Linked DNA regions of Elephas maximus indicus. The protein of the gene in region 1 interacts with the protein of each later gene in a pairwise test. Links are inferred from orthologs where the notes say so. Each region holds a gene or a part of one and is shown in the gene's direction. Other genes may lie near its edges.

What was found.
Region 2: the proteins of EWSR1 (region 1) and ATXN3 interact in binary tests that used the Homo sapiens proteins (3 or more experiments, as listed by UniProt). The link is inferred for Elephas maximus indicus from reciprocal best matches to the Homo sapiens genes EWSR1 and ATXN3.

The regions. Positions count from the first base shown.
Region 1 is NC_064840.1:27,300,167-27,311,113, reverse strand, and holds the start of EWSR1 (RNA-binding protein EWS), read left to right. Parts: upstream 1-5,661; 5' UTR 5,662-5,709; coding exon 5,710-5,722; intron 5,723-9,596; coding exon 9,597-9,633; intron 9,634-9,771; coding exon 9,772-9,823; intron 9,824-10,947. Other genes in the region: RHBDD3 (rhomboid domain-containing protein 3), read right to left, coding at 407-790, 2,874-3,021. UniProt on the Homo sapiens protein: Binds to ssRNA containing the consensus sequence 5'-AGGUAA-3'. Might normally function as a transcriptional repressor. EWS-fusion-proteins (EFPS) may play a role in the tumorigenic process.
Region 2 is NC_064828.1:105,673,241-105,683,931, reverse strand, and holds the start of ATXN3 (ataxin-3), read left to right. Parts: upstream 1-5,279; 5' UTR 5,280-5,332; coding exon 5,333-5,356; intron 5,357-10,691. Other genes in the region: NDUFB1 (NADH dehydrogenase [ubiquinone] 1 beta subcomplex subunit 1), read left to right, coding at 1,108-1,144. UniProt on the Homo sapiens protein: Deubiquitinating enzyme involved in protein homeostasis maintenance, transcription, cytoskeleton regulation, myogenesis and degradation of misfolded chaperone substrates.

The DNA.
Region 1 (10,947 bases):
AGAGAGCCCCATGCCTGCCCTCACACCAGCTTTTGCCCTTACTGAGCCCTCTGCTGGGCACTCCTTTTTCATTTTTCTTCACCTAAGCCCCTCACCCTGCATGTCTCAGCTTAGCCACCACCTCTGGGGAGCTCCCCTGATCTCAGGTCCAGGTTAGTGCCTCTTTAGGCGGCCCCAGCCCTCCTGAGCTCCCCACAGAGATCTCCAAATAATAACTGGCTCTTCCACCTGGCCATGCGCTCCCAATCCCCAGCCCAAAGCCCGGGACAGAGGACTCGGAGATACTTCTAGAATGTGTGTGCACTGCATCCTAGCATTGCTTGGGCCTGACCCCTATTGTGCCACTTCCTCCCCAGGCTACAGAATCCACAGCTCCCACAGGCTCTGGGTCCCAGGCAAAGGATACAGGCCAGGCCGGCAAGGAGGCCACAGAGGAGCTGCAGAAAGGGCGGCTCAGAGCTGAGCAGCGGGGTCAGGCTCAGAAGCAACCAGGGCAGCAGCCACGGTGGCAGTGTCCCTCGGGGCCGTCCGGGGCGTCGACCCTCCCTCGCCAGCATGGCCAGGTGGACGGGCATGTATCCACAGCCACCAGCCACACTGGGCACCCCAAGGGCCCCTAGCAGCACGGCCAGCAGCCCAGCAGCCAGGGCAAGCAGGGCCGAAGCATGCAGGAACCGCAGGGTGCCCAGGTGGCGCTCCTGCTGCCAGCCCAGCGTGGCCAGGAGCAGCAGGCTTAGGAGCAGGCCTGGCAGGGCAGTGTGGCCCAGGGCGTAGGTCAGCAGCCGGTGCGCTGGGAGAGAGAAGGGGCTTAGGCGCTGGGCTAACAGCCCCAACCTCCAAGGCTGCCCCAGCTGTGCCAGGTTGTGGGTTACCCTCCACCAGGGCCACCCGCTGAGCCAACCTCCCTTCCAGGAGCCAGAGTCTGCCCACGGCCATCAGTTAATGAGGAGAGGACCAAGGACCGATATGGCCACGCTCCTGCTGTATACAACAGGGCAACCATTGCTGAGTCCTGATTACGCCCCAGGCACCGTGAAGGTGCTTTGCATACACGTTTACTGAATCCATCATGTGGGCTCTGATAAAACTGTCTGCTTCAATCCTGGACCCTCCCCCCTCCCCAGCTGTGTGACCTTGGACAAGTCACTTTACCTCTCTGAGCATCATTTGGTTTCCTCAAATGTAAATTGTAGCTGTTGTTATTATTGGAAAACATGCTCAGCTGAAGACCTAACATTTCACTGTGAAAGGGAAGCCATCAGAAAAGAGCTCCCACCCACAATCTTCCAGCCCACCCTGCTGGCCCTCTGTCCTCCCTTCTTGCTGGGGGATGAGCTGGGCATGCTCCCATCCAAGGATGGCCTTCTCCAGGGCACTGGGTCCCCTCCCAACTAGGTCCCTCTCACCTGCAGTGCTGACTTCCCCTCTCTCTGGAGTGTTCCGGTCACCTCCCAAACACCCTGCAGGCCTCCCCTTCTCCAGCCACTGCCCATCTCTCTGCTCCCCTTTAGAGCAAAACCGCTAAAGAACCGCCTCCCCTCTCTGCTTCCACCACCTCTCCTGGCCTCCCTTGTCCCTGTTCTCCGAAGTCACCCTTGTCAGGGTCACCAATGACTGCCACCAATGCCAGGAGCCATCTGGATCTCTACCCTCACCCCTTGGCCACCCCATCCATTCTAGGCTTCGAATGCCACAGATACATTGACGCCTTCTGAATTTCTGCCTCCGACCCAGACATCCAACTCACACCCAAAAGCCAGTTCGCTCTCTGCCTCAGGGGTGTCTAATCGGCCTGTCACACTTCACATGTCCAGAACCAAACTCTCTATTCTCCAGAAAACCTGCTCCCTCCAGGCTCCTTCCAGTTGCTCAGGCCCCAACATTCAAACCAGCTTCCAAGCCCGTCAGCTCTGTCCTCGAAATGTACCTGAAAAGTCACCCTGTCCCATGGCCATCCCTGCCTCGCAGTCCAGGCCATCATCTCGTACCAGGATCTTTGCTGTGACCTCCTCACCGGGCTCCTGGCTTCCACCCCTAACCCCCTTCAGTCTATTCCCCAGCCAGGGGGTAGGGCAGTGAGGGGCTATCAAAACCCAAGTCGGATCATGTCACTGCTCTGCTCACAGCCCTCCAAGGCCCCCACCGCACTCAAAGCCAAAGTCCTCAAGACCCTACATCCCCCCAGTCACTCTACTCCCACTATTCTGGCCTCCTTGCAGCCCCACAAGGACACCAACATTCTCTGACCGCAGGGCCTTTACTCTGCTGTCCCCCCGCCTAGAATGCTCTTCCTGGGATCTCTGTATGGCCAGCAGGCGCCCTCAGTCTCTGCAGGGCTCTGCCCCATGTCACCCTCTCACAAAGACCCTCCAGAACCACCCTATCACTCTCTACCCCCTACTCTGGTCACCTGCTTCTCAGCGCGTATCACAAAGACCCTCCAGAACCACCCTATCACTCTCTACCCCCCACTCTGGTCACCTGCTTCTCAGCGCGTATCAGTACCTGACCTACTAGGCAGTCACTTTTTCATGGGTCTCCCCTTCCAGATCGACAGCACCGTGAGAGCAAGGCCTTTGTTTTGTTCGTTGTTGCATCCCCTTCACTGAGAACCATGTGTAATATGTAGTAGGTACTTGATGAATATTTATTGAATGAATGAATGGATGGATAGGTGCTTATCAAATTGTTTTGTGTAATACAGTCACTCGGGAATCTGCTTGAGCAACTCCATCCAACTGTGTTCAATAAAAGAGTAACTGCTAATATGACCCCTAGTTTGCAGGTGACGAAACAGGCCCAGAGAAGGCAAGTGACTGGTCTCGGCCCCACTGCAAGTCTCCTGCCTCCTCCAAGCCCCACGTGGCCCTCACCCTGCCAGGGTTCCAGCAGCAGTTCCGGGACCAGGGTGAGGCTGGGGCCGGCCCCGACCAGCCACAGGCCACTCATCAGCAGCATCAAAGTGGAAGAGGTGAGAGGCAGGGCCGGGGACAGTGGGCCAGGGGGGCCCCTGGCATGCATGTTGAGAGTGGTCAAGAGTGGTCCTGGGGCTGTGTGCTGAGGGTAAAGGAGAATAATAGCAATGGTTACTGTCACAGCCTTTATTTCATTGACTCCCTCTCACCCACCCTGCCAACAACAGCCCCATTTTACAGAAGTGGAAACTGAGGCTGAAGAGGCAAGCCAAGCAGCTTAGCCATGGCAGAGCTTGGACCCTAACCCATGTGCTTAGCCATTCTACCATCCTGCCTGTCCATGTGTAAGGATGGCAGGGGCCAGGCCCAAAGGGCCCTGAGCCCTGATGGCCCCGAAAAAGGGTCTGGGGGTGGGAGGCATAGGCCTAGGGAAGTTGAATTGGGGCCCTGGGCTCCCAGAAAGAGGGGTGCAGTGCCCCAGAGCAAATTCAGAACCATCTCCAGCCCTCCTCTGGCCTCCCTTCCCTCAGGCCAGCTCCCTAGTTGGCCAGCTCCCTTCCTCCCTTCCACTGTGCCCAGCCTTTGAGCTCCAGGCCATCTGGCCCAGCCAGGCTGACCTAGGATGCCCTTGACAGAGGCAGGAGTTGCAAGGAAGAGTCTGCAAAATGGGCCAGCCAATAGACAAACGGATTGGGGAGGGGGTGGGGCAGGGGGCTGGAGGAGGGGCAACAGGAGTCACCTTCCCATTCACACATACAAAGTGCCAGTGGTCAGAGCCACCCACTCTCTTCTTACCTGGGCCCTATCACCACCCCTCTTGTCCAACCCCCGCGCCCCCCCCCCCCCCCGGAGATTTCCTGCTCTGCCTCTTCCTGCTGCATGTCCCTGGGCAAGCTTCCCAACCTCTGAGCCTCTCCTTCCTCATCTGTAAAATGGGGATTAAGAAAACCTTTTCCTCACAAGATGATAAGAAGGTATGGGCTAAGGCAGGGCCTGGTCTGCAGCTCCTACTCAATAAACCATGGCCATCCCCGCTAATTGTGGAAGGCAGATATAGACACCAACAGACTCCCTGTTCTGGCCTGGCTGGTCTTAGCCCTGGCCCTCAACCATGTCCATTCCCTGCCTCCACAAGGCAAGACTTTCTCTCCCCTGTTCTCCCCTCTGCTACCCAGCTTGTCATACAGGCTGGGCCTCCAGTCTCCCATAGGGCAGGAAGTAGGACCCCAGAGAGACAAGAAGGCTGCCTCATCTGCTCCCTTGCCGAGGGCAACCTTAGCATCAAAACCCACTTGCCAGTTTCCAGTAGGAAAAATGTAGAAAGCTCCCCTGCCTGCAGTGTCCTTCCCTCCATCCTCCAACAGGCAAACTCCTATTTACCCTTTGAAACCCAGCTCAAATGTCTCCTTTGGCCCTTCCTCTTACCAACAGATTTTATCCTTTATTACAAGCTCAGCTTAGCCTGTCTGTCTTCTAAGGCAGGTGGTTTGAGCTCATGGAAGGGCTTCTCTTACTCATCCCCAAGCTTCCCAGGGTGTTCCTAGCACACAGCAGGTGCATAGTGTGCTTGCTGAAAGACACTAGCTTGGCTCTGGTTCCACCGAGGGATTTGGGGTGAGCCCAGCCCCCCACTGTGCTGAGCCATTGCTGAGGTCCCTTCTAGGAAGGCCTGCAGGTACCAGCTTTGCCACGAGGCTGGGTCTGCAGCCAAAGGTCCACTGCAAGCCTCTTCCTGCACCCTCACAACTACTCCCTCCCAAGGCACTGTAGGGAGCGTGAAGGACCTGCCTACCCAAGGACACCCAGAACTAGGACTTGAACCCTCTGGGCCTCAGTTTCTTCATCTACAAAATGGGGTGGTGCACCATCAGGCCCTGTGTACCTTACTGGGAAACTAGAAAGATAGAATGGGAAGACAAAGGCAGGGGAGCTTCTTCCCGGGTGGTGAAAAGTTGGGGGGATCTCTGGGTCTGGGTCGGACTCAGCTTTGTGACTTTGGGCAAAGTACCCAACCTCCTTGGACCTCAGTTTCCCCTGCTGTAAAAACCAGGTTATTGGATAACAGGTGATTAATGAGCCTTCTCAACCTCGACCGTTATGGGGCAGGGGGAGGGGGTTCTCGGAGCCGGGCGCAGCGTTCGGGACCTCCCACCCTACTGACCGGCCTCGGCCCCCTCCCCCGCCGCGGGGCCACGTGTCTGAGGTACTCACTGCGAGTGCGGCCCCCCCACCCCCGGGAGGCCGAGCGCGACCCCAGTTGGCAGTCGGGCCTTTAACCCCCCACCGAGGCCCAGACTCCCGAGCCTAATCCGCACACACGCGGGCGCGTGACCCCGACCGGCCGCTGCGCTGCCCCTTCCCCGCTGCCTGCCGATTAGTCAGCAGTTGTTCTAGGCCCCGGTCCCTTCCCCCAGCCCTCCCGCCGGCCTCCGTTTCCTCCAGGGTAGACTCTTCAGAGACGGTCCCTAGAGCCAGCGGACGTAACCATTACTAACAGCCTGGCTTCTTGAGAATCTTTCGGTTTGACACTGAGACCCACTCACCGGCCGCTCTAGCCCCTTCGGTGCTATTTTGTCCGCGCGTCTTCGCAGCCAGCACCCTTTAGAGAGGATTGGGACAAGAGTTGCGGGCGCAAACGACGAGAAAGTGATGGTTCATCCCTCCTTATCCCACCCCCGTGGCCTGGCCCGATGGTAGCGCCCGAGGTTGCGGACCTCGCGCCTGCGCAGTGCGGGGCCTAGGGGGAAAGCGAGAGGGAGACGGACGTTGAGAGAACGAGGAGGAAGGAGAGAAAATGGCGTCCACGGGTGAGTGTGGTGGAACCGCGGTCGCGGTGGCGACGGTTGGGACGCCCAAACGGGGGACCGCTCATCTCTGGGGGCAACCGGGGCGACCGAGTGGAGCTGTGGAGAGGGGTTTGAGGTACTCTTCACGGCCGGATGGGCTCGGGTGCCCGCGCTCCGCTCCTCTCCCCTCCCCCCACCGGGCAGGCCGGTTCTGGAACCTTCCGGCGCTCCTGGCGCGTGGGGAGCTCGCGGCGGCGCGCGGCTGCGGGGGCGCGCGAGACCCGCCGAGGCCTCCATTGTGTGGCGGTAGTCGGGCCCCGCGCGCCGGGCCGCCCGCCACGTGGGCGGGGCCTGCGGCCTCCTGGCTCCGCGTGGGGGAGGGGGGCTTGGCCGGGCCTAGAGCGGGGAGCCCCGAAACCCGGGCCGCGGGGGTGACTGCCCCGGCCCTCTGCCACTGTGACTGATTCCCGCTTCTCTTCCCGGGAGGCGGCCCGAGCCTGAGGGGCGATTCTTCTCCTCGGAGAGGCCCGGGGAAAAAAAGCAAACAGACAAAAAAGGCTTCCCGGATTTGCGAGCCGAGGGGCGCCGGCCTCTCGTTTGGCCTATGGGCTGGAGCCCCGTCATCCTCGATCTCCGGGCGGCTGGAGGCGTCCAGCGCCGCCGACCAGCTCCTCCGCGGGCTGCAGGCCGAACTTCGGCCGCACTGGGCTGTGGACGGAATGCCCCTCAGCCCCATTCAGAGCCTCCAAGCCTCTGCTCCCTCCCTTCTTCATTTTCATCGTTTTTTTGTAACTTCCCCACCTCTCCTCCCTAAAAGCGGTAAGTCGCTTCCCTGGGCCCTTTTTCAGCCAACGCCGAGGGAGAACCGTTGTATAATAAGGCCTGCCTGGATCACGAGGCCAGAGATCTTCCTATGAGAAATTTCTGGCCTCTTTGACCTAAAAGGAACAAAAGACCCGAGCCGGCATTTGAATTCTCCTTAAGCAGTCATAGGGGCGACAGGCGTGTTTCAGTCGTGGGCTGATAGAGGAGAGGGAAGGTAGACGCACCGAGGCCTTTGAAAGCAAGCCCAGCGTGGGAACTCCAGGATGTGGTGAATGAGGTGGTCTCTGCTGCACGGAGTATTTCCCAGAGAGTGTCGTCTTCAGATCACCTGCAGTTGGCAGCCTCTTCGTGCACTCACCGGCGGTTGGTTGGTGGCACGGGCCAGCACTTTTGCGTCTGGGGGGATTCTCAGGCGGCCTGCCTTCTAGAGGCAGTGGGAGGAGATGAGAGGGAAAGACAGGAAAAGCTGTGGGTCTTCTCGCGTTTAAGTTTGAGGAGAGTCCGGGATCCAGCAACTTAAGGATGTGTTTCTGGCGCTGCCCCACTTTGTGATTAGTAACCAGGTGACTAGTGTTGCTGTAGGTGCCCCCAGAGGAGGACTCCGAAATGCCATAGTACAGATAGCCTTTCCACCCTCCCTCCCCTTCCTTGCAGTTTGAATTTTGTAAGGGCAACAACGGCTTTAGCCTTAGGAGCCAGCGTGGCTGGATATGTTACTTCTTCAGTTTTGCTCAAATCCTGTTGTTATTCACGTTGTACTGTATTAGAATTACAGTAATGGTTTATGCAGATACATGCAATATTAGACTGAGCTTTATTCACGTTGTACTGTATTAGAATTACGGTAGTGGTTTATGCAGGTACATAAAATATTAGACTGGGCTGGGGGGGTCTTGGGGGAGTCATGTAATTTACCTCAACCTTGGTTTCCTTTCCTGCAAAATGAGGGTGTTAGGCTAGATCTTTAAAGGGCTTTTTGAGCCCTTAACTGCTGACCTTACAGCAAAGCGTATTGCCTACCACAGAGTTGCCTTATATTGACTATAACTTATTATGTAGTCTGAATATTTGAATCTCTCCAGTTTGGATAATAACTCCCTAAAGTATTGTTTAGCTACTGTCTTGAGTAATCTTAGATGTTCCCCCATGTATATGGTATATAGAAAAGTACCCAAACATATGTCCAGTTTAACGAAGAATTAAACACAAACTCCCAGATCAAGAAATAGAACATTGCCAGCACTCTAACTCCCTGGATCACAGTCGCTTTCCCCTTCCCAGCCGGTCCTGTATTTTTAGTGAAGTCTTCAGCTGCACATTTGGGGATTAAAAACAAAATACACCTGCTTGCTAAAGAATCTGACCAGGGTGTAAGTGTAGCAAGCATATTTGAGGTCATACAGTTCTGTGTGTGGTAGATGAAACAGTAGTTCTCATGAAGCATGCTAGCTGCCTCACTAGTATGGGGCTAAATCCTCTAGTTTCACACTGATCTGAGATCATTTGTTCCCTATCAGCTTTGCCAGTTTTATGTTTTACATAACTGCTGTTGTGTAAAAGGTCTCTTACAAACGTTGAATTTACGTATCAGCGATTTAAAATAATTTCTAACGTAGAAAAATTAGCAAAATGTGAAGTGAAATATTTTAGATGCTTCGTTGGTGATATGTTTATTTTGTGAATGCCACGTGGAAGTTGTTCACATTTACTTTTTCATGTCCCATAAAGAGTGTGATTTGTGCTATTGCAAATGCCTTAAGGTTGTCTTAACAAAGCAATGTATTATCGATAGCCTTTGGGCATTTGATTTGATTTTGATGATTTAGGGTTCAGAGTTAAGGGCATACAGAAAGTGGCTAAGTGAAGCATGGAGAGATAGAAAGATAAGCCAACTTAAAGAGATGGGTTTAGCAAAATGTTGACAGGGCTGTGAGGTCAGCTTTGGATAGAGTAGGGTAGAACCACTCGGTGAAGAACTGAAATATAAACTATTGTTTTTGGATGAGGGACTACTTTCTGATTAGAAAAGGACCTTTTTGTTCAGTTCTAATGGCAGTACTATCTTCAAACACAGAATAAAACAGTAGAGAGGAAAGATGAAAGAATTGGGCAGAATTTTTAAAAAATAACAGCTCTTTTTTTAAAATAAACTGAGCTTATATAAGTTTATTTCAGTAGTACTCTGAAAACTTCTCAACCATTTTATTTTCTGTTTCCACTGGTAGACACCTCGTTGGACCAGAGTTTAGTCCCTCTTTGACACATGTTCTAAATTTCATATGAAATGGGAAATTGTGGAAAGGTTTACTTAGAGAAGGGAAGAAAATTTGTGGCATTTTTTTTTTTGAAAAATTAAAGTCACTTGGAGTATTTAAAAATAAGGTGGTTTTACCTAAAACCAAATTATTCAAAAAAGATTAAATGCTTCCCCTCTTCGCCAGTTTCCAGGATTCTGCCTTAAATCTGTGTCACTGGGGTTTATAATATACCTAGCTTTTGAGTTATTGCACAAATGTAGCCCCAACACAGTCCGCAAACCCTTGAAAACACTGGGTTGTGATGCCTGTCCTCTTGTCCTTTGCCATTTCACTTCACAGTCGTTGGCCTGCTAGGGACTTAGCGTTAGACTGACTTGATAAAGTGAAGGAGTGATAGAAAAGCTCGTTTTTGAGGAGATAGGTATAGCTACGAATAGAACTAGTCTGACATCAAACACTGAAATATTGTCGCATCCTTCTTTTTTATATGAAGGTAAATTGACGCTTTTGACCCTGTTAGTGAGTCTTGTTCTCTGTGAGTCTTCGGATGGTCATGTATTTGAAATGACAGCCTGTGGTTGAGGGACATTGTGGTCACGGAACATGCAAAGTGTCTTTGCCAGATCTCCTGATCTTGACCTCGCTAGCTGGCACCAGACTTAAGTTTTCTGAGTTTAACTGGCCCAGACTTACTTTTGGTTTGGTGTCAAGAGATTAGAGGCACATCTGTGAAGCAGTCTTCCTACCGTCTGAATTCCTTTCCCTTTTTTCTCTTCTCATTTTCATGTATTTTCTCTCCTTGTTTTCTCTAGATTACAGTACCTACAGCCAAGCTGCAGCCCAGCAGGGGTAAGTAAGTCTTATGACAGTATTTTGTCTGTGGTTGGTTATTGTTTTTAGAGTGTAGAGCCTCCTATAGATGTAGAGGATGTAGTGATGGAATATGGATGTTATATATTTAGTTCTTGCATTTAATTTCTTTTACAGCTACAGTGCTTACACCGCCCAGCCCACTCAAGGATATGCACAGACCACCCAGGTATGCTTTAAGATAATTATATGTAGCTGCGACTCTAAGTAAAATTTTTTATCGATTATTAAAATAGCACGGATTATTTTCAAAAGTTAGGTAATAGAGAAGTGAAATAGTAATGTGCTTATAATCATAAAATATCTAGGAATTTAAACTTTCACAGCGGGAGTGCAAGGGATTTCATTCTGCCATCATAGGTGAAACCTGTGGTACCCTGCTGCATGCTTGGTGCTTCTGCATATTTTATTATGTTTAAATTAATTTAATTTAATCATCCCAACAGTGCTACAGGTTTAAGATGATATTATGACTATGTTGCAGGTAAGAAAATTGCAGTACATAAAGATTATGTAATTTGCTGGTGGCTGCACAGTAAGTGGCAGGGTCAACTTTAAAAGCCATGGCTGTGTGGCTGCAGAGCTCCTGAGCTCTTTCCAGTACACAAGTCTGTTTAAAAGCCTGGGCCAGCAGGTTCTAGAGTTAGCCTCCCAGTGTTCTCAACATCACGTCGAATTCTGAAATGGCCTGTGGCATTAGGTGGATACTAGTAACTCTGCCGTGGGGACCTAGGACAGCCAGAATGTGTTATCTCTGGCAGATCTTACATAACTGGTCATTTAGATAAACCTAGGATATGATTATGCTAATGTTTGAAAGAACAGCTCATTCATTGCCTGGATTTAAGTATTATTGATGTCCAAGTTCAAAAGGCAGTACTCTTGATGTGCTAATCTTAAGAGGGCATACAGTGTTCTGATTGTTTTCTTTGAAGTGATATTTAAAGTGTTTGTATCAAGCTGAAAAGCTTGTTTCCAAAATTGACAAATTTTAGTCCTGTCTTTGTTTTCTTTCTCTTTGTTCATTTTGTCTTGCTAACATTTGTTTCCAGTTACTGAAACCGTGCTACTATAAGTGTTGGCAATTATATACCTGTGCCCTTATTGCACCTCCCTTGAGTACCTTGTTAACCTCCTGTGTAGTTGACTAAGATTTTGCTTAATTATCTCAGGAGGTTTTTTTGTATTTCAGTTTACTAAAATACGAGCCAACTGGATAAGGGATAACAAGCATTGATAATACCGTGATGACTTGTCTGTTTTAAAAATCTTTTTACCAACATTTTGATTGTG
Region 2 (10,691 bases), on another chromosome or scaffold:
TTCTTCTTGATATCATATATGCCAAAAATAAACAAGGGATAATTTTCCCCCTTGAGTACTTAACATTGAAGTGATACTGCCTTTTAGTCTTGTTTGTCATCTAATTCTTGAATAAAACTGTATGATTACCTCTGGAATACAGTCTTCAGTTTATGAGCAGGTGGTTTCAAATCTTTGAAAGTCCCATTTTTTGGAATTCAAAGTATATTTTACCATAGAAACAAAATTTGAAACAGCTCTGTAAAGCCTACCCTGTATACTGCTTTCACATATATTATCATGTACTATCTTACTTAAGCCGGGATGTAGCTGAAATGTTGTTGGGTGCTGTCAAGTTGATTTTTGACTCATAGTGACCCAGTGTGACAGAGCAGAACTGTCCCCGTGGGGTTTTCTACACTATAATCTTTACAGGAGCAGATTGTAGTATTGATAGTGGCGTTAGGAGCCGCAGGGGTACAACAGTTAAGAGCTCAGCTGCTAATCAAAAGGTTGGCAGTTCAAACCCATCTCGCATTTATGCAGGAGAAAGACCTGGCGATCTGCTTCCATAAAGATTACAGCCAAGTGCTATGTTCTCCACAAGAGTGCTTTAAAGAGACATGGTGGTTGAGTGATCGAATAGCAGTTGTCAGCTGCCTGGCCTCCTTATGTCTCTGAAGACATCTCCTCTGGCAGCAGAGAGTTAGAGTAAGCTAGACAGGATATCTGCCAGTAGGTGTGCACACTGGGCAGGAGGATGCTCAAGGAGCAAAAGACTTGAGCGTTGGCCACAGTTGATACGTAGAGGTGGGTCACACATCAAGGATTTCAAGAAAGGGAAAACAAGCTGGAAAGGGTGCAGAAAACATTAAATGGAATCATTGAAAAGATAATAGCTTTCATATAAAGCTAGACTAAGAAATTATAGTTTTTTAATTGGGAAAAATGCAGTTGAAGGTAGAGTAAAATCGTGAGGGAATAGGATGAATATGTTGAATCTCATGTAAAGCTTTAAAAATGGGGCAACTTAATAGAATATAACATTGAATTCACACTCCTTTAACTTCCCCTTTTATCTCTTTATAAAAGTTTTATTTATTCTTTTCCTTCTTTTTTTCCACGCAGGGAATTGAAACCCAATGAAGAAGTTACCTGGAAGTAAAAGCTGTGGCTGAATTACAAAATGTAAATGATATTTTAAATATTATGAGAAAAATAAAAACATGTTTATTATTTGAAGAATTTGGAGTGTGATTCTTTTTATGCTAAAATAATTTTCAAATTTTAAAATCCATTCATTAAAAACACAATTACTGGGTACCTAAATTTTCTTTTTTTTTAATTGTATACGTTGGTGTTAAGTTTACAGTTAGCATTTAATTTTCTCTTTCTCATTTTAAACCATGGTACTGTTAAATCAAATGGTCAATTCCCCCCACCCCACCCCACCCCACAGGTACTTATAGTCCCAGTGACTGGTGTATAGAAACACTATTTGTTGAATGAAAGGAAAACTGGTGTGATTTGCATTTTTGGAAAGATCACTGATAGAACTATGACTCAGGTGTATAGAGACTGGAGTCAGAAGGCCAATTTAGAGATCCTTAGACTAGACTACACAAGGCACTCAGAGGGCTTGAACTGAGCAACAGCAGTGAAAACAAATGGGAGAGACGGGTGAGAACACAGTATTCGAGGACTGATTGAAATAAGGGGTGATGTGGAACAGTTGCAGGGAGGGGGTAAAGAATCAAGAATGATTCCCAGATAGTTGCCTTCATTAATTTATTCAACAGACATCAAACACTAGAGACACAAAGTCAATTAAGACAGGCCTGCCATCAAGATATTTATAGGATATTGACAGATGTATGATTAAACCAAACTTTATGATACTGTATGAAAGGTACTATGTATGATAGATGCATGTACAGAAATTCAGAGGAGGGGCCAACCCACTGCTGTCAAGTTGATTCCGACTTGGAGGTCTAAATTATTCAGAAGTCAAGAAAGTCATCCTGGAAAGTGTGATCATTGAATTTTGAAGGATGGTATGATTTTTCTTTCAAAGTGGAATAGAGTTTAGGACATGCTGAATTTGAAGTGGAGGCATTAATTGAAATAGGGAAAACAATGGATCTAATCCCCAAATTATACGTGGCTTAAGTGCCAAAGCCAAAACTAGAACTTGCATTCTGACTCCCAGGTGTTGACCTTTTTCACTTTATGACATTTATTATTAATCACACATCAATGAAATGATTAGCATTAATTCATATTTAGTGCCTTTTGGCTAAACACTGTTTTAGGTGCTGAGGATTCAACAGTAAGGTCCTCTAGGGGTTTACATCCTCATAAGCAATTAATAGGGGCCCTGGCAGTGCAGTGGTTAAGCACTTGGCTGCTAATTGGAAGGTCAACCTTTCAAACCCACCAGCCACTCCTCAGAAGGATTGGCAGTCTGCTTCCCCAAAGATTACAGCCTTGAAAACCAAATGGGGCAGTTCTGTGTCCTACAGGGTCACTATGAGTTGAATCGACTCTATGGCAATGGTTTTGGTGTTTTGGTTTTAAGCAATTAATCGCATCAATTTTTTTTGAAATAAATAATATAGTTCAAAGATCAAGAATAAAATTGCATACAATGAAAAGCCTCCCACTCTGTCCCCCTTTTGCCTAGTTCTCTTCCCATCTCAACCTCTGGCTTGTGTAATGTGTAATGTATAACCAGTAACTGGTTGCCATCGAGTCAATTCCAACTCATGGTGAGGTGACTCCATGTGTTTCAAAGTAGAACTGTGCTCCATGGGGTTTTCAGCGGCTGGTTTTTCAGAAGCAGATTGCCAAGACTTTCTTTTGGAATTTTTCTAGGTGAACACAAACCTCCAGCCTTTCGGTTAGCAGCCAAGCACGTTAATCATGTACGTACGTGAAAAAATAAATATTTCCTCACATGGATGCACACTTTTTTTAAAACAGAAAAAGTGGCTTGTGAGTTTTTTTTTTTTTTAATGAGAACTGTGATTTGTTTCCCCATTAGGCCACAGTTTAAGAGCAGGGACTGTTTTTCCCAAACAGTACGCTGAACTGTGTGCCCAGAGGTGTTCAATAAATGGTAACTGGATCTTCCTCTTGAACACATGCAGTCTCCATTTCCTTACCTCCTGTTGTCCCCTCTACCCCCTGAACCTGCATCACGAAAGTTACCAATGGTCTGCATAGCAACAAAACCTAGTGGGCTGTTGTAAACTCATGTTAGCTGACTTCTTGGCACTGCTGTCTTCTACAGCCAGAGTGTTCTCTGTAAAATGCAAATCTGAGCATGCCTCTTCTTTGAAAAGCTGTAGCTCCCCAGCTGCCCTTAAAAAGTACACATTCCTTAACTTGGCTTCAAGTTGCAAGATCTGCTATTTGACCCCTTCCGCTTTATCCATCCTCCCCATCTCCTCCACCACATACACATACTTTATGGGACTTTTCAGTTCTTCCAATCAAGGCTTCCTCTTTAGCACCAGAGCACCAACACCAGAACAAGCTGCCTGAATTCGAACCCTCTCATGGCAACTTGCTAGTGACCTTGGACTTGTGCTGTTCTTAACATCTCTGTGCCTCCATCTCCGTCCTTATGTGTAAAATAGCCCAGTCGCCCAGCGTGTAAAATAGAGATGATAGTAATAGCTAAATCCAGGGGTGGATTATCCAAAAGGCAAAGTAAGCATGATGCTTACCTTGCTTACTAGATCATCTGAAAAGAGCTATTTTTTTTCCACCACATCAAAGATTCTACTTCTGCATATGGCTGGCATCTGTCCCTCCCTCCACCCCAGAGCACCTTCCTACAGAATTGAAGCCTCTTTTCAGATTTGTAATCCCTGACGGGGATGGATTACCCAGTAAACAAAGTAAGCATGGGCTTACTTGTGTTTACTTATACTTGTGCTTGCTTACAAATCTATAGTGAGCAATTTCACAAGGATTTCACACAAAGACATGGTGATATGGAGACAAAGATGTGGTGAAACCCATGTGAAATTGTTCACTACAGATTAGTAAGTAAACACAAGTAATCCCGTGCTAACCTTCCTTATTGGGTAATTGGCCCCTGCCTACATCAGAGGTTGCTATGTTAAGAGTCACCGATACATGCAAGGAGCCCTGATGGTACAGTGGTTAAGGACTCGGCTGCTAACCAAAAGGTTGGAGTTCAAATCCACCAATGGCTCCTTGGAAACCCTGTGGGGCAGTTCTACTCTGTCCTACTGTGTTCTACAGTCAATTCCTATGAGTTGGAATTGACTCCACAGCAATAAGTTTGGTTTTTAATGTATGCAAAGCCTAGCCCATAGTAAAAAATTAAACCAGATTCCGACACACAGAAACCCTACAGGACAGAGCAGAACTGCTCCGTTGGGTTGCCAAGGAGCTGCTAGTGGATTTGAACTGCCGACCTTTTGGTTAGCAGCTGAGCTCTTAACCACTGTACCAGCATAGTAAAAACCCGTTGCCGTTGAGCTGATTCCAACTCATGGCAACCCCGAAGGACAGATTAGAACTGCCCATAGAGTTTCCAAGAAGAGCCTGGTGGATTCCAAGGGCAGACCTTTTGGTTAATAGCCCTAGCACTTAATCTAGCCCATAAAAAAAAAACCTGTTGCCATCGGAGCGATTCCGACTCATAGAGACCCTATATGACAGAGCAGAACTGCCCCACAGAGTTTCCAAGGAGCGCCTGGTGGATTTGAACTGCCGACCTTTTGGTTAGCAGCAGTAGCACTTAACCACTAAGCCACCAGGGTTTCCTAACCCATAAAAAAAAAAATGTATATATATATATATAAAAATATCATTTTCACATCATTGCAAGGTATTGGGGGATACAATGATGCCTTTTTCTCAATGAGGCTTGCAGTGGGAGGGGGGAAAAGATAATAAATAATTATCGTAGGTGTGATAAGTAGAAAGTTCAAAGCAAAGTGTAAAGAAAAAAGAACATAGAATCCGAGTGGTCCTTATCTAGACCTGGAAAAGCCTAAGAATCCATAGTAATGGGTGAGAAGAAGAGAAGAGCCTCCAGACCGCAGGGGGCGCTGCGGCAACCCTCAGCCGGCTTGGTATCAGGAACTGGGAGGACACGCTACAAAGGTCACGTGCCCTTGCGATTACCGCCCTGGCGTTCACTGGCTCTTCGCTCCACGTGACTCGCATCCTCGAGGGTGATTGGTCTTCGTAAGGCACGAGGGCAGGGGCGGGACGAGGTGGGGCGGGGCGGGGTAGGCAGAGGGTGGGGCGGAGGGGCGGAGCCGGAGGGGGGTGGTTCGATGCGGGGGCCGTTGGCTCCAGACAAATAAACATGGAGTCCATCTTCCACGAGAAAGTGAGTGTCCGCGTTCGGTGGGGACCTGTCTGCGGCGCGGTGGCGGGCGAGGGGTGCGGTGTCGCCGCCTTGCGAGGGCTGGGTGGGGCTCTGAGTCGCCCCCATCCCGGCCTCTCCGGGTGCGGGCCGCTCGAGCCGCCCGTCTTCTCGGCACTGGGAGGGGAGCTTTACAAACGCCGAGGAGCCGGACCGGGACGCCCGGGGATTCGGGAGGGAGTGAGGGCAAGGCCAGGGGGCGCCTCGGGACACGGAAGGAGGCGGCGGCGGCACCGAGTGGGTCAGCGTCTACCTTTCTCCGGCACTTTGTGTAGCCTTTTCGGGGAAACTCTTCTCCATTCCCTTCTCCCCTGTGCTCCCTGGTTGTAGCCCGAGTCACCTCTCGGAAACTTCCCCCAGCCCTTCCCAACTCCCCCGCTTTTCCCCACGCCCACCCCTGGCAGAATTCACTTCCTTCTCTGGGCGCCTCAGTTCTATATTGGAATCTCCCATACAATTAGATCTTTGGGGTTATGTGCCTGGCTTCCTCCCGCGCTAGGTTCCTGAGCCTCTCCAGGTCAGGAACCTTAGCTCGCCCATTCGTAGGGCCTGACACTTAGGGAAGTAGAGGCGGAAATCCCATGCAGGGAAGTAAGTCGTCACAAGAGTTTTTGTTATGGGATATCTGCGGTTAGTTTCGTTTGCTATTTCCATCTTCCTACATCAGGAGGCCAGCTTTGTTATTAGGTATTAGGGGTGGACTGGAATAATTTTGTTGGTGTGGTCCGCCTAGCCTGTTCTTGCTTTGATTTTTCAATGGCCACGTAATTGAATGATGCTGCTTGTGTTATGTGGAGAAGCTGGTCTTGTCTCGCATACAATTATCAAGGCATTGGGTGTGAGTGAAACCTTCCTTGGGACAACTTTGGCAGATGGCATCTTGTTTCATAATAGTTTCATGTTTGGAAAGGGTGGCTGTGAGGCTGTTATTTATTTAGTAGGCGCGAAGGGTTATCGTATTAAATACTTGTGAATGATCCATGGTGGAAGACATTTTTAAATACACACACACGAGACAGTGAAAAACAAAAGAGGCAAGGTGACTTATAGTATAAATTTAAACAAATTGTTAAAGGGAATGCTTTTTATAGAATACATTTCAGAAAGTTTTGGAGCTCAAGTTGGTTGATTTTTATGTGTGCGGAGAGGAAGGACTCAGTGGTATGGTTATAGCTAATCTTTTGATTTGATTGACGTATTTTATGAATCTTGGACTAGAGAGATTTAGCTGCTTGGCTCAGGAGATTGGGTAAAGATTAGAGAAACTTGCATGTATATATTTTTGTTAATTTTCAAAGCTTTGGTGTAGCACCAGGTGTTTTCAACATGGAAGACTTTAAACATTTTCATATACCATTTCATGCAGTGTATTTTTAACAGTACTGATTGTTACCTACTTTGGATATATATCAGTGAAGGTAACTGCTGGACCATGGGACTAAAGGAACCTGGGCCCCAGCCTATTGAAAACTACTTACCTGAAAGAAGTCACTCTCAACGTGTTTAGGCGTAAAGATTAGGATGCCATCCCCTGCACAGATACTTCAGGCATCTGTTTCCTCTTATTGTCATCTGTTTATAATATGTACTTAGCAAATAAAGGCTCTTAAAGTTCTTCAGGCATGTTTCAAGAATATGGAAAGCACATGTAACCATACGGCTCATCTTTAATCACATATTCTCCCATCTCTCAGAGCACCCCCCCCCCCCCGCCACATATCTTTAATTGTGCTTAGACCTTGTGCTGGGGACATCAGTGGTTTAGTGGTAAGATAGTCTTGTCTTCTGTGCCGGAGATCTGAGTTCAGCTCCTGACTGCAGCACCACACATGCAGCCACTACCTGTCTGCCAGTGGTGGTTTGTGAATAAGCCAGTGAAAACTCTGTGGATCACAATGGTCTGATCCGCAACCAATCACAGGATGGCAGAGGGCTGGGCAGCGTTTTATTCCATTGTGCATGGGGTCACCATGAGTTGGGGGTGCCTTGACAGCCATTAACAACAATAGGCCCTGGGCTTGGAGAGCCAGAGAGCCATCTCTGCCACGATGAAGCTGTGTTGGTAGGGATACCAGCCTGCAGAGGACCTCTCAGCCACTTCCACTTGGAGTGTTGCTTTCCCTGTTTTCAGAGTTTGGGTACCCTTTATTTGAGTACCCTTTATTAAGCTAAACTGTAAGCAGTTGTTCACGTATATATCCTGAGTGCCTAGAATGCAGGAAAAAGATGTGGCAGTCTGCTATTGTACAGATTTACAGACTTGAAAGCTCTATGGGGCAGTTCTGCTCTATTCAACCTTGTAGGGTTGCCATGAGTCGGCATCAACTCAACGGCAGTAGGTGGGTGGGTAGTGCCTAGAATAGTGCCTTGACTCATAGTAGGTGCTCAATAAATGTTTGAATCAGGAGAGTTCCTTGAGCATCTAAGATGTGTATGATGCTTTTTACCTGAAGTAAACTTTTTCCATAAGGGGCCAGATAGTAAATAATTTAGACTTCACGGGCTACATATGGTCTCTGTCACATATTCCTCTTCGGTTTTTTTTTTTTTTTTTTTTTCCCCCAACCATTTAAAAATTTAAAAGCCATTCTTAGCTACTGGGGCAAGTTGAATTTGGTTGCAGGCTGTAATTTGCTGAACCCATAACAAAAGCCCTAAGGGAGCCCTGGCGGAGCAGTGCTCTGTGGCGGTTGGAACCCACCAGCCGCTCTGCAGGTGAAAAGACCTGGTGATCTGCTCCAGTAGAGATTACAGCCTAGGGAAACCCTGTGGTGCAGTTGTATTCTGTCATACAGGGTGCTGAGTCAGAATGGACTTGAGGGCACACAATGTCAATCTAAACATTAATACTAAATGGCAATTAATTGCTGTTTTGTTTTTTTTTTAGTTCCATGGACTGCTTTCTTTTATTTTTGTTAGCTCTTGCATTGCTGATGGCTGTTGGTGTGGACATTGTGCCACCTGGATTTGGTACTTTTAATGTAATGTGAACTAGGAATGCTGTAAGAGTTGTGTTTAAAATGAGTGAAAAGTTGCTGAGGGTTGGCTTTATGACATCCGTTATGCGCTTTTGTGATTGCTGGTTCTTAGCCGCCTTTAGGATATTTGCGGTTTAGGAATAACCAAATTCCAAGTCAGTGACTCGAGGAAGTGGTAATAGCACAGACTTTGGAACCTCTGCGTGGGTTTGAATCCTACCTAGCTTTGCCACTTACTGTATGATCCTGGGCAAGTTACTTCTTATTGCTGTGCTCGTGAGGGTAATGAAGTGTCCACCTCAGAGTTATTGAAGGCAGCTAAAAACAACAAAAATCTCAGAGTTATGCATGCATAGAACATTGTCTGGCATATAGTAAGTGCTAGAGAAGTGCTGGCCATTGTCGTTACTCAGATGCTTTGTATTTGCTGCACCTCATAATAGGCGATGTGAGAACTCTAAGAGGAAATGAACTGCTGCTGGGTGGATTGCATGTCCCTGGGCTAGCCCACTTCTGAGAGCACCGTTAGGTTTATGCCTGGTTTCTATTGTAGTTAGTAGTGTCCCTGGGAATGTGAACTAGTTTTAGGTTGGTCCTGAAGACCTTAAAGGGAACGTGATTTGGTTGCAGTTCCATTTTGTGGTTTTATAAAATTTCTTGGTGGAACTGGCGATTCAGTCTGTTCTTCCTTGGTCCCGACACAATGAAGTTTGGACGTGAACTCATGGCATTTAAATACCACTGAGCTGTGATGCTAGCAAATCCAGCTTCTGTTCGACTTTGGTTAGAGCTTGATGATAGTGACTCAAAAAGGGGTGGCTGGGGCTAGTTCAGGGAGGAGGATGCCTAATCTTGGGTGGGACAGTATTTTTTGGTCCACGTAAAATTTGATTCATTTTGTGACTTTAATAAAAAGTGATTTCAAATTTGGACTGAACAATTTGTTCTTTGGATCATCCCCCTGTCCCGTGAAGTTGTATTAGAAGTACAGAACATATTGCTATTATTTCCTGTAGCCATCATTTTGCTTAAAGTTTGCTTTCAGGTGTTTATTTTTTGTATTTCAAAGTTAATTTCTTTTTATAGGGCTTGCTTTATTTTTTTAGGTCAAATATTTGAATGTCCCTGTGCCTATATATAAGTTCGGTGACCAGAGTTTGAGAACTCCAAACGGAAGCACATGACTTGACAACCAGACAGAAAATTTGCACTAGGACTGTTCCCAGAAAGTCCAATGTCTGATCCCTGTGTTAAGGTGCTCCTCATCTGCGGAATAGCTGTATCTGAGCAGTCTTTTTTGTTATTTGAATTTTTTAAGAATTTAGTATGATACATACCCCAAACCAAACTCATTGCCATCAAGTCTATTCCACCTCATAGCGACCCTATAGGACAGAGGAGAACTGCCGCATAGGGTTTCCAAGGCTGTAAATCTTTACAGAAGCAGACTGCCACATCTTTCTCCCATGGAGCATCTGGTGGGTTCGAACCACCAATCTTTCAGTTCGCAGCTGAGCACTTTAACCATTGTGCCACCAGAGCTCCATAATACATGCAGAAGCATACAGATCACAAGACTACAGCTCATAGAATTTTCAGAGTGAACACATGTGTGTAAACAACACTTAGCTCAAGTAATGGAACGTTTACCTGCATCCTAGAAGCAGCGCTTGTGCCCTCTTCCATGTGCTAACTCTCCATCCCCATACCCCTGGGAACACCCACCCTTGTAACCACTATCCAGAATCCTAACATCACAGATCAGTTTTGCCAGTTTTTGAGTTTTTGTAAATAGAATCATACAGTTTTACTCTTTTGAGCCTGTCTTTTATTTAATGTTGTTTGAGAGATTCACCCGTATTATTTCAGATAGTTAATTCATTCTCATTTTTATATAGTATTCCTTTGTGGGAATAACACAATTTGTCCATTCTGTTGTGACAGGCATGTGAGTAGTTTCCATTTGGGAACAGTGCTTCTCTGAACATTCTTATACTTAAAAAAAAAAAAAAGCTTTATCGTGATAAAATATATTAACGAAAAACTTGTCATTCAAGCCATTTTTAAGCATACAATTCAGTGACATTAATTATATTCACAATATTGTATTGTGCAAACATCACCATATCTATTTCCTAAACTTTTTCATCACCCTAAACAGAAACCGTGTGTCCGTTGAGCAGTAACTTCCCATTTCTCCCTTCCCCCAGCCTGGTAACTTCTAATCTGCCTTAGGACTTTATGAATTGGCCTATTCTGGATATTTCATAGAAGTGGAACCATGCAGTATTTGTCCTTTTGTGTCTTAGCATAATTTCAAC